3 linked regions of the Ovis aries genome follow. Each later gene encodes a partner of the first gene's protein in a complex. Links are inferred from orthologs where the notes say so. Each region holds a gene or a part of one and is shown in the gene's direction. Other genes may lie near its edges.

The links. The genes of interacting proteins can lie anywhere in the genome.
Region 2: the proteins of NCBP1 (region 1) and NCBP2 are in contact, whole or in part, in a crystal structure (PDB 5OOB), measured with the Homo sapiens proteins. The link is inferred for Ovis aries from reciprocal best matches to the Homo sapiens genes NCBP1 and NCBP2. Residues at the interface, in NP_002477.1 of Homo sapiens: Glu32, Cys36, Leu71, Thr74, Val75, Arg77, Leu78, Leu79, Ser324, His325, Trp326, Lys327, Glu328, Arg329, Lys330, Ile368, Val370, Met371, Thr374, Glu378, Asn415, His419, Ser422, Asn423, Gln425, Lys455, Arg458, Leu459, Ser460, Tyr461; in NP_031388.2 of Homo sapiens: Gly4, Leu5, Leu6, Lys7, Leu9, Arg10, Ser11, Asp12, Ser13, Tyr14, Glu53, Glu54, Gln55, Tyr57, Glu58, Leu59, Lys62, Ser63, Asp65, Lys67, Ile69, Tyr89, Asn96, Arg99, Tyr100, Asn102, Gly103, Thr104, Arg105, Leu106.
Region 3: the proteins of NCBP1 (region 1) and PHAX are in contact, whole or in part, in a cryo-EM structure (PDB 8PNT), measured with the Homo sapiens proteins. The link is inferred for Ovis aries from reciprocal best matches to the Homo sapiens genes NCBP1 and PHAX. Residues at the interface, in NP_002477.1 of Homo sapiens: Cys380, Lys381, Pro384, Pro388, Gln389, Leu391, Ala392, Thr395, Phe417, His420, Leu421, Asn423, Phe424, Gln425, Arg427, Trp428, Ser429, Asp432; in NP_115553.2 of Homo sapiens: Ile114, Asn115, Asn116, Ile117, Trp118, Gly119, Val121, Leu122, Glu124, Gln125.

The regions. Positions count from the first base shown.
Region 1 is NC_056055.1:50,020,150-50,025,204, reverse strand, and holds the start of NCBP1 (nuclear cap-binding protein subunit 1), read left to right. Parts: upstream 1-1,570; 5' UTR 1,571-1,876; coding exon 1,877-1,910; intron 1,911-5,055. UniProt on the Homo sapiens protein: Component of the cap-binding complex (CBC), which binds cotranscriptionally to the 5'-cap of pre-mRNAs and is involved in various processes such as pre-mRNA splicing, translation regulation, nonsense-mediated mRNA decay, RNA-mediated gene silencing (RNAi) by microRNAs (miRNAs) and mRNA export.
Region 2 is NC_056054.1:192,213,317-192,218,430, reverse strand, and holds the end of NCBP2 (nuclear cap-binding protein subunit 2), read left to right. Parts: intron 1-1,977; coding exon 1,978-2,233; 3' UTR 2,234-2,666; coding exon of another isoform or gene 2,667-2,738; 3' UTR 2,739-4,166; downstream 4,167-5,114. UniProt on the Homo sapiens protein: Component of the cap-binding complex (CBC), which binds co-transcriptionally to the 5' cap of pre-mRNAs and is involved in various processes such as pre-mRNA splicing, translation regulation, nonsense-mediated mRNA decay, RNA-mediated gene silencing (RNAi) by microRNAs (miRNAs) and mRNA export.
Region 3 is NC_056058.1:25,001,173-25,005,581, reverse strand, and holds the end of PHAX (phosphorylated adapter RNA export protein), read left to right. Parts: intron 1-2,302; coding exon 2,303-2,572; 3' UTR 2,573-3,556; downstream 3,557-4,409. UniProt on the Homo sapiens protein: A phosphoprotein adapter involved in the XPO1-mediated U snRNA export from the nucleus.

The DNA.
Region 1 (5,055 bases):
AGAAGCACAAGCTGGAATCAAGATTGCCAGGAGAAATATCAATAACCTCAGATATGCAGATGACACCACCCTTATGGCAGAAAGTGAAGATGAACTAAAGAACCTCTTGATGAAAGTGAAAGAGGAGAGTGAAAAAGTTGGCTTAAAGCTCAACATTCAGAAAAGGAAGATCATGGCATCTGGTCCCATCACTTCATGGGAAATAGATGGGGAAACAGTGGAAACAGTGACAGACTTTACTTTGGGGGGCTCCAAAATCACTGCAGATGGTGATTGCAGCCATGAAATTTAAACAGTTAGAACTGGACATGGAACAATAGCATACTCCTTGGAAGGAAAGTTATGACCAACTTGGATAGCATATTCAAAAGCAGAGACATTACTTTGCCAACAAAAGTCCATCTAGTCAAGGCTATGGTTTTTCCAGTAGTCATGTATGGATGTGAGAGTTGGACTGTGAAGAAAGCTGAGCGCTGAAGAATTGATGCTTTTGAACTGTGGTGTTGGAGAAGACGCTTGAGAGTCCCTTGGACTGCAAGAAGATCCAACCAGTCCATCCTAAAGGAGATCAGTCCTGGGTGTTCATTGGAAGGACTGATGCTAAAGCTGAAACTCCAATACTTTGGCCACCTCATGCGAAGAATTGACTCATTGGAAAGACCCTGATGCTGGGAGAGATTGGGGGCAGGAGGAGAAGGGGAAGACAGAGGATGAGATAGCTGGATGGCATCACCGACTCGATGGACATGAGTTTAAGTAAACTCCAGGAGTTGGTAATGGACAGGGAGGCCTGACGTGCTGCCATTCATGGGATCGCAGAGTCAGACACGACTGAGCGACTGAACTGAAGGAAGAACAGATTAGGCCAGGAGAGTGAAACAAAAGTTCCATTTCAGAGATGTGAAAATTTCATATGGCTAAGGACCAGGCAGTTAGATACGCAGCCATAGCGCTCACCAGAGATGTCAGAGCGAGGGATATTCAAATACACGTATGGAGGTACACGATAAGTATTGAAAACGTTACTAAAGCAATCACTCGTTCTTTCCTAAACCACAAGTCAGAGGATCGAGAGATCAGATGACGGCCAGAGAGTAACCCTGGAGTAGCTGGCTCACGCTTCGGAGGGTCCTTCTGTCCCCGGGTCGCTGGAGCCGCCTCGCACCCCGGCCTCACCCCGCGCTCCGGGCTTGGCCTAATCTCTCCGCCCAGCTTTCCCCAGCCGGCAAAGGCCGGGAAGTGGGAGAAAGATGAGCACGTACCCGCCCGTCCTGATCCTTTCTCAGATCTCTCTTCACCGAGCAGTCTCCGCCTAGCAATTGCCACCGCTCGCAGCCCTCGCACTCCCAGCCCCCTTCTGTATTTAGGAAGGAACGCCGTACCGCACCTCGCTCCGGAAGTTAGGCCGTTGGCGAAAGGGCCGCCGGGAAAACCCCGCGGAGGCCCCGAGAGAGGGGCTGAAGTGGAGGTGAGGACTAGAGGGTCCCTCCTAGACGACCCGCCTCCGGGCGTGGCTCGCGGCCTGCGGGGTTCGGCCTGGCGGAAGAGGCGGTGCTCTCCGCGTGGCCCCGGAAGGGCTTTCAGCGAAGGCGGGCGAAGGAAGCAGCCAAGAGGGGGAGGTAACCCGAGAGGGTCGCTGCGTGCTGGACTGAAGCCACCGGCCTGGTGAGCTTCCAGAGCCGGCTCTCCTGGATCCGAGCTCGCGGAGCCATCCAGCCATCCTGCCTTGTGCTTCCGGGAGCCGCCGCGACCGACAGCGCCTGCGCGCCGGCCACTCCGCGCGCATCGCCGCTGTCCTCCCGCCAGCCGGCGGCCTGACGGTTCCTGCCGCGCTTCGTGACCGGTGTCTCAGCTCCGCGGAGCACCAGCGTGCGGCATGTCGCGGCGGCGGCACAGCGACGAGAACGATGGTGAGTGCCCTAAGCCCGGCCGCCGAGGCCGCGCTCAGGTGGGCGGAGGTTTGGCTTCCCTGGTGTTCGGGTCTCGAGAGAAGGGACGGGAAGCCCTTCCTCTAGGAGCGTTCAGGGAGCCGCGTAGAGAAGGGGGTGGCACGGCGGGAGTGCGGCCGGGCAACTTTGGGAAAGCCCCTGCTTCCCCCGGTCCCAGTTCCTCAGTCGTTGGCCACGGGGAGGCCTGGTGGACCCCGGTCCCTAGGAACTCTTCAAAATTTGGCTCTTAGCATCGCCGAGCAGGGAATTACACCTGTGTCTGTGCCTCCGCTTCTTAGGGACCTATTCAACCCAGTGTCTCGTTTTGACCCTCAAATTGCACTTAAAAAGGACTCTCAAAAGATGAGAGATCTGCTGAGTCCCGATCTGAGCTTTCTCCTGTTCCCGTCATCCGTCGTCTTGCCTTCTTCCAAGCGATAGGGAAAGAAATCGGTCTTATCCACACCCAAGAGGTCTCTTAAGAAAGAGATGTACGTAGATTGTTGTGTTACATTTTGAGCTGAGTGTAAGCATAGTTCCCTCGTGTAATAGAGTGTTGGAAGACTAACTGGAGAGCTCCTAGAGATTTCGATCAACCATTTGGATGGTTGAGCTCATGGGGATCATGGAGTTGCCATGTAATAAAAACCAAGAATAATTTTGCTAGCTAAAAATAGAAAAGATATTTATCTTGCAAAAATCAGTCAAGAAACAGAAACACATCCAACAAACAGAAAACCTAACAGTTATTGTTACTAATAGTTTAGGGTATTGTTCTTCGAGAAGAGTGTAGTTTGGTGGTTAAGAGGCCAGACTTTGGAATCAGAGGACTTTTCAAAGCCAGACCCTGCTGTTTACTTTGTGATCTTGCCTGGGTTATATTACCTCTTTAAACCTTACTCTCTAACTTAGAAATAATGATACGAACCTTTTGGTTTTGTGAGAGGTAACACATGTAACTAATTGCTCGTGAAGATGTGTATTTTATCACCTGATAATGCTTAAGAGCTGATAATCATTGGCAGATGGTGACTCTAATAAAAAGTACAGAACAAAAAAAATTGAATTAATTTTCTCCACTGACATTTTTCTCTCCTTGAATGTTGGGGTAACTTAGGGGTAGGAGCAGAATCCCACTAATTTAAGGTTTTTTGTTTGGTTTGTTGGTTTGGGTTTTGTTGCTGTCTCTTTTTTTGGCCGTGGTATAAGGATCTTAGTTAGGGTTAGGGATTGAACCTGTGCCCCCTGCAGAGGAAGCACTCAGTCTTAATCACTGGACCACCAGGGATGTCCCCCACTTAGTTTTAATAGTGTATCAGATTTCTCCTAGAGCTTGGCTTGGGAGGATATTCTACCCCAGCCTGCTCACCTCACACCTGAGGTCTACAGTTTTAGTGTAATTAACATGGAGACAGCATTAGCAGTGCCCAGATACCAGTGAAAGCAAGTTGAGAGTTACATTACACAGGTATTCCTATGCTGTATCTTTGATTTTTATTAAACACAACATAATGTACATACAGGGCACAGAAAATAGTTTTCGTGTGCTTTGTATCTGATTTGTTAATTTAATCTCCTGGAAGTCATCGCTTGGGATTTGGAGAACTTGGGTCTTTTAAAGTTCTTCCCATTGTCTTTGTTCTTCTCATGCTTTCTCTACTCTTTCATCATCTCCTTTCTAGGGTATCCCTAAAGGGAGAGAAAATCTTTCCAAGGGGCATCCTGGAGAATTGGATGTAAATTTGTAGAAAAACAACTTTTGCTTTGGTTATTGGGATGCTGGTATAACGTTCTTAGGAGTTAGCTTCTGGCAGCTAAATCACTGTTCATTTGGTGCAGAAATCTCAGAATAAATAAAGACAAAACAAAATAAGGAGTTAATTAAGCAGCGTTTACTATAAATAATTTAGTAGTTGAAGGGCAGTTTATAACCCCTCTTAGATACTACACCAAGTCTGGAGCTTTCGTAAATTGCCACAATTTGGGTAATCATCAGCTAGGGTTTATTCTAAATGGTGATCTGAGTCACATATTTTAGGTAACTTTCTTTTGGTTAAATGCCTACTAAATTTTTTTTTAAACCAGAAATTTTGAAAACTTAAGTATTATAGAAGGCTGTTTTAAAATAGGCCAAATTTTTGTTGTGTTAAATAGATGCATCTAAGCATTTCTGGATTATTGTCAGCTCTTACCAGTCCCTAACTGCCATGACTCTCTGTGTGCTTGACTAGACACAGTAATTTATTCAACAAATATTTAACAGTGCCAGGCACAGTTCTAACTCCTGGCAGTACAGCAGTCGACGATAAAAGGTGCAGTCTCACTTTTACAGGCAGAGAACAATCAAGTAAATACAGTGTATCATATGGTGTTAAGTATGGTGGAGAAAAATAAAACCAGTTAAAGAGGGTAGGGCTCTTGTCAGGGAGGAGTTGCTGTTTTGTATTGGTTTGTCAGTGAAGGCCTCACTGAGAATGGCATCTGATCAAAAACCTGCAGGAGGTGAGGGTGTATTTACATTTGATTAATTAAAAAGTGGGGGAAAGCAGTAGTCTAAGCAAAGGGAGCCTTGAGTGCCAAGGCCTTAAGGCTAGAATAGTCTTGTCATCTTCAAACAGCAAGAAGGCCAGTGTTGCTGTAGTAGAGTGAGAAAGGGGGAGAGTTGTAGGAGATGAGGTCAGAGAGGTAAGGGAGGATCAGCTCACAGATACAACTTAAAACTGTATCTGTTGAGACTTCAGAGTCCAGGATCCAAGGCTATACCCATGAAGCTCACCTGGAGATGGATTTATAGACAGTGAAAATGGAAATAAATGTGTGTGGATATTGGTCCAGTGCTAAAACTGACTCCTTCCTTAGACTCTTTGTAAGAATATCTGAAGCTTTTCAATTATTCTGGATATGCATACAGTAGCTGTTCGATGTATTGTTTTATTCTTGTAAGACAGTATTTATATTGTCCATAACCTTGGCCCAAAACCCCATGTTAGTCCCTTTTAAGCTACTTAGTATTAGATCCTTACCTTTTAGAATGTAACTCTTTTTTTAAATTGATACTTAACTATAGAAAAAATAAATAGAAGTGCAGGGGTTTGTTACTCTGAGGAAGAGTATAGTTTGTTTCAGA
Region 2 (5,114 bases), on another chromosome or scaffold:
TTTTGATAGTTGGTTAAGTAAATCTTTGAAAATGTATATGCTTATGGTACTTCAGAAAGTTCAAAGAGTGTATTGAAAAATAAAAGCCCCATTATCATTCTAAGTTCAGAGACATTAGCTGTCAATCTCATTGGTGTCTTTCCAGAAGTAATTCTGTGTATGTGCAGTAGCATATTGTATGCACTTTCTTTCATCTACTTTAGAGATTGTTCCATGTTAGCACATGTAGGTTACCTCTTTTTATAACAGCTACATAGTATTATGTAGATGCATATAGCTTGATGCTTGTACATGTCATAACCATATTTACTTGTGACCATTCTCTCCCTGCAACCTCTCCATACATTTGACCACCTGGATTTACCCTTTCATATTTTGTTTTTTAACTGTTATTTTCTTTTTTGGTTATTTTGAGAAATTTTCCAGACCTAGTCCACCATGTCATTTGAATTTTCTGTGCCTTGAATTGTTTCTTTCCATTGTATTTATGCTGTAAAATTTCCTTAAATTTCTGGTGATCCCTTGGTTTCTGGGGGAAAAGGCTGACTTTGTGGATCTAGGCAGATCTTCTTAAGTTGTTGCCTTGCCTTTGGGACATGTGGGTTTCTTAAATGCTAGAATGAAAAAAGATTTTAGCTTGCTGATGTTAAAGACAATGCCATAGTTCCTTCAGTCAGTAACCGTATCTTCTTTATTTGCCTGGAATTAAATGTGTTCCTGCTAAAAGGTCTTCTTCCCACATAGAGACCTTTAAATTAAACCCTATTTGCAGCCTTACTACTTAATCAACTTGGAATTAAGAGCTTCCTGGGTTTGCTGTCTCCTTTAAGCCTTTCAGGAGTATTTCCTACTGTGACTTTGTTTCACCCATTATTAATCTTTAGCTTTGGCATCTCTCATCTGCTGATGGCCTCTTCTACTCTTTGGGTATGTTTCTTTCCTGTTGTCTAATGGAGGCCCTGAGAAGGAAAAGAAGATAAAATGTGCTCACTATCAGGTTGAATCAGAAGCCCCATGTTTGAACCTATTCCCCACTTCTGACTTTGGTGTCTGATTTCTGGGCTCTGCAAGCTTCTTTCACTCCTTCAGACACAAGGGACGAGTGCCCAGGTTTTGCTTTCACTCTGGTGCCGAGAGTGTAAAATAATTCACAGGGGACAAAAAAGACAAAGAAAATATTAGATACTAATCAGTGTTTAAGAACTGGAATGTTTTTGCATTTGCCTTGAAGGTCAAAGATCAATAATCAAGATGACAAATACCCAAAAGAAAGGCTACCTTTCATTGTCAGTATCCCGCCCCTCCCCCCAATTTGCCCTTTAGCATTCATTTCATTCAACAAAGAATTATTGAATGCCCATGTGTGCTAGGCATTGTGTAGACACTGGAATTTCAGCAAGTGTTTCCCCGCCTGTGTAATTATAGACAAGGGGAAAGGTCCAGATCAGTATTTCCTAGATCCAGATATAATTACTTACATATAGTTTTTAATAGCATCCCCAAAATAGATTTAGTAGATCTGGTTTAGAACTACTGACTTGAGTGATACTTTTTGAGTGTTTCCTTCTAATGAAATGTGATGGCAGGTCTTAGGCAGTGACCTCTTTTTAAGGTGGTTCTTGAATGTACAGCTTCATATTCAGGGAACCGAAAGATGCTGTTGTTTCCTTGGATAACAGTTCGTGGTTTAAACCTGCACAGAACATATCTGTATTTTGCAAAAGAAAATATGGAGATAGTGGGATTGGGTATTTAACAGGATTATCCAAAAAAACCATCAGTGTAGCTGAGGATGAGATACCATTTTTGACTGCTTCTGGACCAACCTCAACACGCCTATAAACCAGATTAATGTCTTTGATCTCCATCTGGTTGGATTAGTTTTTGTACTCTTTAACTCAGCTTCATTTAGATGTTTCTTCCTCTATTTACAAAAATGTCTGGAGAAATGTTAATTCCTTAATAATCATAATTAAGATACTATTCAAGAGCAGATGCAGAAAATGCCATGCGGTATATAAATGGAACTCGTCTGGATGACCGGATCATTCGTACAGACTGGGATGCAGGCTTTAAGGAGGGCAGGCAGTATGGCCGTGGGCGTTCTGGGGGCCAGGTACGCAGGAAGGTTTTCTGTGCTCAGCCTTTGCCTGGGATTCCAGTCCTAAACAATGTGTTTTGTCAATTTGTATTTGCTCTTCTCAAAATAACTGTGCCTATAACCTTGGCTTGAAGTGAATCCACCCATTGGGGTTGATAAATTATTAATATTTTAAAATACCATTAAATAGTATATCTTTGCAAGCAACCATTACTGGACTTCTGCAAGGGGCTGAATATTCTCCTGCAGGAATGTTGAGCAAAGCAGAATGTACTAAAACAACTTTTCCATTTTTATTTCAGTATAGTTTAAATATTCTTTGGAATGTGCTATCTTTGAGTGCTGAGTGTGTAAGCCTGATGTTTGTTTTTTTTTTTAAAAAAAAGCAGTATTAAAATAATTTTGCAGGGCAGTTGAACTTTATCATCAGTTGCTCAAAATCATGTTACACTTAACAATGTTTACATTATGACATCTGAAAAGGCTTAGTTATTTGTCTGACATATTTTGGAAGGCATGTTTGTTACACTAATCTCTGTACTGTAACATGTTCTTTTCAATTAAGGTACGAGATGAATATCGTCAGGACTATGATGCTGGAAGAGGTGGCTATGGAAAACTGGCCCAAAACCAGTGAGTGGTTGAGAACCCCATCATGAAAGCCCACTCCTTTGGCCTGTTGAATTTGACGGGTGTTACCCAAGGTCTGCAAACCTGCCTTTTGTTTTTTGTTTTTTTTTAAACCAAGCTTTAATCAATGTTTCTACTGAGCTGGAAGCCTTGTCATGGTTTTCCTCTTAAAAATTATTAAAGAACAGAATCCAAAAAAATGCCTTTAATTCTGTAGAATTAAATCTTAGAATCTTGGTTTTGTGTCAGATTACCAAAATGATTTCTGTTACTAGGTCAAAAATTGTGTTCCTTAGCAACAGACTTCATGTATAATGTTGATGTGTCAGCCAAAAACACACTTCTTTTAGACTGGAAAAAATTTTTAAGTGTCTACCATGTTTGCATCTAAGTAGGTTCATGGTCTACCTTGGGACCTGGAATTACTATTTTAAAAATTTTAAGTTTTCATAAGATAAAGTTTAATAAGTAGACTTTTGCTATGTTATGTAGCTTTGCTCTAAATTAGGGGAACAGATGCTTGATAACTGAAGTTTTTTTTTTCTGTGTTGATTTTTAATCTGTAAAGGCAAAACTTAATGGAAATTCCTAAACAGTTGGTATAAAAGTAAGCTTTAGACAGTCCCAGGGAACACCACCTGCTTTACATGCTTTGTATATCAGGAAATAAGGGACAAGGATTGAAGGATATTTATTTACTAAACACATTTTTCAAAATGTGAGATGTGAGCGCCTTCAGATCTATTTTTTTCATTTTCAGACTGATCTTGGGAATGGAGTGTTTTGTGGTGTTTGCGTTTTTTTGTTTTTTTTTTTAAAGAGCTTACAGATTGAGAGAATGGCTTAACAAAATCAGATATGGTTCCCTTGGGAAATGTTTTGGCCAGTTCTTACATTGAAGTCTGTCTGGTTTTTTCTCCAATTGTGCTATGTTTCAGAGGCTGGACAGTCAGCTGATGGTCTCTACAACTCTCAGAAGGGAGTCTAGAGGATTTATTTTGCATTTGTAAGGCAAGAGATGATTTCTCTAATGTTACATGAATTCTTGCTCATTTTAAACTGTTAGTCTAGTGTAATTCTCCCTGACCTAAGTGAGATTTTTTCATCTAGCAACAAAGTATCTCCTACTTTCCAGGAGTTTGTGAAGTTGGGGCTGGAGTATCTCAATGTGAACAGCTTTCATGTTACAGTGTGTGTTTTCTCCAATTTAAATTGGCTATTTGGATATCTCTAAATCAGTTGTAAGTATTTAGGAAAACGTGCAAGTAATTTAATGAGGACATAAAGTCTTTTTTACAGTAGTTTGAATTAATGTATTTTATATTATTTTGCAGTAAAACATGATTCAGATTTCTATAGGCCTTAAAACCATAGACAGTATTTCATATTTGAATTGTCTTCTGTAACAGATTTCAATAAAATTGGACCAACTTACTGTGTTTTTCCTCACCAAGAGACATTGAAACACTCTTAGCCTGGAATCCATTTGGGGGGAGAATCTGCATAGTGTGCAGAATTTGCATGTCCATTTTGATCTGAGAGTTACTAATATGGTAGTCTCTTGCTATATGCTGCTAATTAAAACTGTTCCTCAGTCACATTAGCCACATTTCAGATGCTCGATTCCTGCCTGTGGTAATGGTTGTTGTAGTGGATGCAAATACAGAACATTCCCATTACTGGAGAAAGTGCTGCTACTGGACAGTGAGCTGCTTAGAGCCTATGCAGATAAGCCTTGTCGTGACTGGAGTGCCACTGGGAAAAGTTACTACTCGCCAAACAGTACATGTTACCCAACACGAGAGAACACACATTTATAAAGGCATTTAGTTTATTTTTCAAAAAATATGTTTGCTAGAAGGTTTGAGTAATTTTACATGATCATAATCTTTAAATAAATTTTTTCTGACCAAAAGGTACCATTAAGTGGACAGCTTGTCTAGATCTGCTTTTGTTAACACCCAAATACAATTAGCATGTCTGATGGTATTCCCTAGGTCTTCTTAAATTATCTACAGTCCAGGAGGCAGAGCCTAGCACATAACAAAGTATGTGTTTTATAACTGCTTATTAGTTCAGTTTCATAACAGTTCAGCAGAGCAGGTAGTCAGTACATCTAATTCACACTATTAACACACTGGTTCTTGCCTAAAGGGTCTGATCCATGCAGAGCTCCCAGTTATTCCTTCTAACCCAGGAAGTAGTACACCACATCTGCAGAGAAAGGGGGCAGCTCTACTTAGGCTACTGCTGGCGATGTCTCAGGTCTGTTTCTTTGTTCCAACTATGAATTCATGGTGACCAGTGTTAATTATATTCAATGATACATAGAAAATAAAATGCAAAGCCCAAGCAGCAGCAAGCAGCTGCTGCTTCTCCCTTT
Region 3 (4,409 bases), on another chromosome or scaffold:
GTATTTCTGATGAACAGGAAGCTGGGCACTTTAGCATTCTTAATCATTTTTGTATTACTAGAATGTCATTTGGAAAAAAACTGTGTGGGTTTTTCATAGCTCAGAATTTGGTATCTTTTAATTTGTTAATTAAGGAACATGACGGCATTCAGCACATCTGATCAAAATAAAAAACTGGCTTCTTAGGAAGGAGGTGGTACTCGTGCAACACAGCTGCAGGATTTGAGAAATGTTGTGTTCTCTCTATTATACCAGTGGGTGATAAAGGTCATAGGAATGTGCTTTAACTGTTTTAATGTAAGGCTGATGGTGACACAAAATTAAAAGCCTTTTCTCTTGAGCTGATGCTCCATGTGAGCATATTTTGCATTTGCTCAGGTGTTTTTTTTTTTTCCCTCACTATTCACTTTTGGTCATTTTTTAAAAAATATGTTACTGAAATTCCTACAAGAAATGTTCCCGTTGTTGCACATTTGGAATCTGTATTCCTTAAGTGCTTTTTTCCCTCATTGGACAGTTATTTTGATAACGTGAATTTGTAATGAAGTGGATTTCCTTGGGAACACAACTTCTGAGTGATAGAACAGAGCTTATATTAATACCTTAATGTTCTCCCTCCTCCCCTAATATTACCCCTGGCCAGAAATGTGTACTTAGAAGGAACATTCTTCTCAGGTTTTGTTTGATGGCAAAATGTCACTCTTTTGAAAGATACAGTATGATGTGATGAAAAGGATTCTCTAAGATTCAAAGTCTAGGTTTTAATCTTAATTTTGCCATTTAGCAATTGTAGACTGTGAGAAGATTGCTTACTGTCTCCCCCAGCCTTGATTTTTTCATCTATAAAGTGAGGACTGTAATATGTGCGCTGCCTGTTTAATATTACTATAAAAGAGTTAAATGAAATGATATCTAACAAAGCTTTTTCTTGATAACTAAATCTGGACAAACAATTTCCAGAAGCAGGAGAGGAGAACATTTATTTCCTGTGAGGCTGGCACTAAGGCCAATATTTACAGGACTTACTCTTGACAGCCTGTCATTGGGTGTCACCCTGCTCTGCAGATGGAAGCAAGAAAAGGACAGGTCTGAGATCACACAGGACTCTGCCTTCAGACCCATGTTGTTTCCGCTGAATCACTGGTCTTTGAAATTCAGTTCTTCTAACTTGTTGTGGAGAAGGGAATTTAATGTGTGTAGATTTTTATCCTAAACTGTCAGAAACATTGCGTTATAATAAACAGTGGAAACATTTTTAATAGTATCCAATAATAGGGGAATGTTTACTTATAAGGACATTCTTAAAACAACTATTGTGTAGCCTCTATTTTTGTGAAGCAATTCTAAGAAAATTAGAAAATAAAATAATAGCTGAAAGGCAGAGTACAGATTTTTAAAGAAAAAGAGTCATGGGATAATAGATTGGTAGTTAAAACACCAAAATGTTACCAGTGCTTTGGTCTGTTGTGAGGGGTTAGAAATGTTTTGGCTTTTAAGATTTTTTTTTCTGTTTTTTCCAAATTTTCTGTTGTACATGGATTGACTACCTTTGTTACTAGAAAGAAAAATCAGAAGGTAGATATAATTTTATTGCAGGTAATTTCATATTTCATTCAAACAATGGTGTTATAATTTTTCTTTCAGTCCCTCTTATTGTCACTCTTTAGTCACTGTTATTAACAATCACAGTCTGTAGAGTTTGGAAGCCAGAACTGAACTGAGTGGGCTTGTTTTCAACTTTTTCTCATTTGATTTTATTTTAGTAAGTGGCCTTATTATTTTTCTTGTACAGAATACAAAGTTTGTGGAGATAAAAAGAGTAAGAATAGTTAGAGGTTAATTTGCTGTATTTTTTTAAAGTCCAGCTATAACGATCGCCCTCTTAAAGTAGTATGCACTAGGTTCTTAACTTGTGGATGGGAGAAGAAAAATTTCTCTCAGATTATCTATTTTCTGCATTTGTTGTAACACATTAACAATATGATAAAAAGACATTTCTTTAGGCCATTCCCGGGTTTGTTTTATTTAAGGATATAACCCATGGGAATGACATTTCCTCTTTAATAAGGTTTACTGTATTTGGAGGGAAAGGGGGGACTTCATAATGTAATTTAGTATTGCCAAGCGTTGTACTAGTTAGAATTGTTTTTATCAAGATGTTTGGATGGGTTTTCAGTAGACACTTGAAAAAATTGTGAATTTTCGCACTGTTGTGAAGGCAACATAATAGGGGGTTTAAGGATATGGTAGTTTTAATAAATAGTATTTGTTCTTGTTTATTAAAATTGTTCCTTTATTGTAGGACATTTTCTACCTTGAAAATCAAAAGGAATATGAAAATAAAAAAGCTGCTAGAAAGAGAAGAATGCAAGTGATGGGGAAAAAGATGAAACAAGCCATTAAAAACCTAAATTTTCAAGAAGATGATGATACATCACGAGAGACTTTTGCAAGTGACACTAATGAGGCCCTGGCCTCTCTTGATGAATCACAGGAAGGACATGGAGAAACGAAGTTGGATGCAGAGGAAGCCATTGAGGTTGATCATTCTCACGATTTGGACATGTTTTAGTACATTTTGAGGAATAAACCTTTCTAAGATAACATTGTAATAAACCATTTCTACTGAGATTATTTTACTTTGCACTGATAAACACAAAAATCTGGAGAGAACTGTTACCTTGTTTTAAATAAAATTGAATATGTGGGAGATGAATGTGATAAGAACATTTACAACTTTCTCATGTCTGACAAAGTATTTAAAAGTATATAGTGGAAGATTTAATTTCTTAATCTGTTGCATGTGCTAATTATTACTAGTTGATAATCAATTTTGTCCAGGTTATTATAACATGCCGTTCAAAAGTTTTTCTGATTTATCTTTGCAATGAACTATGATTGGTTTCAAAACATTCCATTAGAAGATCCTATTAAGACATAAATTGTTAAGCTATTACAAATGCATTCAAATTTAGTTTTTCTGTGTTTTAAGAACTCTTAGGCTTTTAATGATAGAAACTAAAAATAGGTTTATACTAGTGGCTCTTCCCACTTATGTGTGTGTTCCGAAGTAAATAAACATCAGAAGCTTTTCAAAGAAGTATCGGTTCATAACTTTAACTTTGTTTTTGACTTACTAGTTACTTTGGTCATATCTTTAAATACTGAATGTAATCCATATGTGCATAATTACAATGACATTTAAGAAATTCCCAGTGGGCCTGCCTAAGACAGTTTTACCTTATGTTAAGGAAGTTAGGTATTAAAAATGTTTCTTCTGCATGATGTTTAAAATTATTCATTTTTATTTAAGAAAATAAAGGTAGTTTACTTAAGGTGTCCCCAAGAGTTGACCACAGTTTACAGAGTAAGCAAAAATATGTAGGAAGCAGTTATTATCTATTCTTTGCAATAATGTACTTGAAGTCTTTCAGTAATTTTTGAAACACATAAATCATTGAAGTTGGATCTAAGCAGGGAAGGAAGAGGAAAATGGTTATTGGTTACATTTTATTCATAAAGAATGCAGAAATAAAATTGGAATTCTGGAAATCAATGAGATTCGAGTGATTTTATTTTTTAATCTCAAATTTTCTTTCATAAAATTGCCATAACCAAGGAAAGAAGCATTTTAAATAGGTAAGTATTTAAATATTGTCCCTAAAGTTTTTTTTAACCTTTTATTTATTTGAAGAACTTTTTTCTAATTGAAATACAATTGACTTACAGTATGAAATTAGTTTCAAGTGTACAGCATAGTGGTTCAGTATTTTTATGCGTTGTAAAATGATTACCACCGTTCCTGGGATTACTTTGTGTGAGGTGATTTTAAAGGTCTGGTATATTAGTAAGATAACAGTCAGAAATCTAAATGTCATGTATCCTTGTAAATACTACTGATTTTTCTAGTGAAAGTTAAAACAGTTTTTGAAGAATGTCTCAGGCTACTTCATCTTTAGTGGATGGCTCATTTCTCCCCCACCCTGCTTCCTAGCTTGTTTTCATTTTCTTAACATTTGTAAACTACAGATTTCTGGATTGTATTACATCCTAATGGTATAGAAACCAGTGCTTCAGTTTTTAAGGTTTAAAGTTTTGTTTATTAACATTACTCTTCTCTAAACCTTTCTGATTATCCAGATCTAGGAATGTCTGTACAAACTCTTGCTAGAAATATATTCCCTTAATACTGTCACCATACCAGCGTACATTACAGTCATTCTCCCTGCTCAGCCGAACATTCTATTTGCTGGCTAGTAGGATTAACAGTAATAGCCCTCTGTGTCTCTGGCTTAGTAATTTAGGTGCTCATCCTCACTCATAACCTTTATTAGAATGAGTTTATTTTTTTACCTAAAATGCTCTGTGATTGAATTCAAAACCTAGGAGATAAAATGGGTTGGATTGGT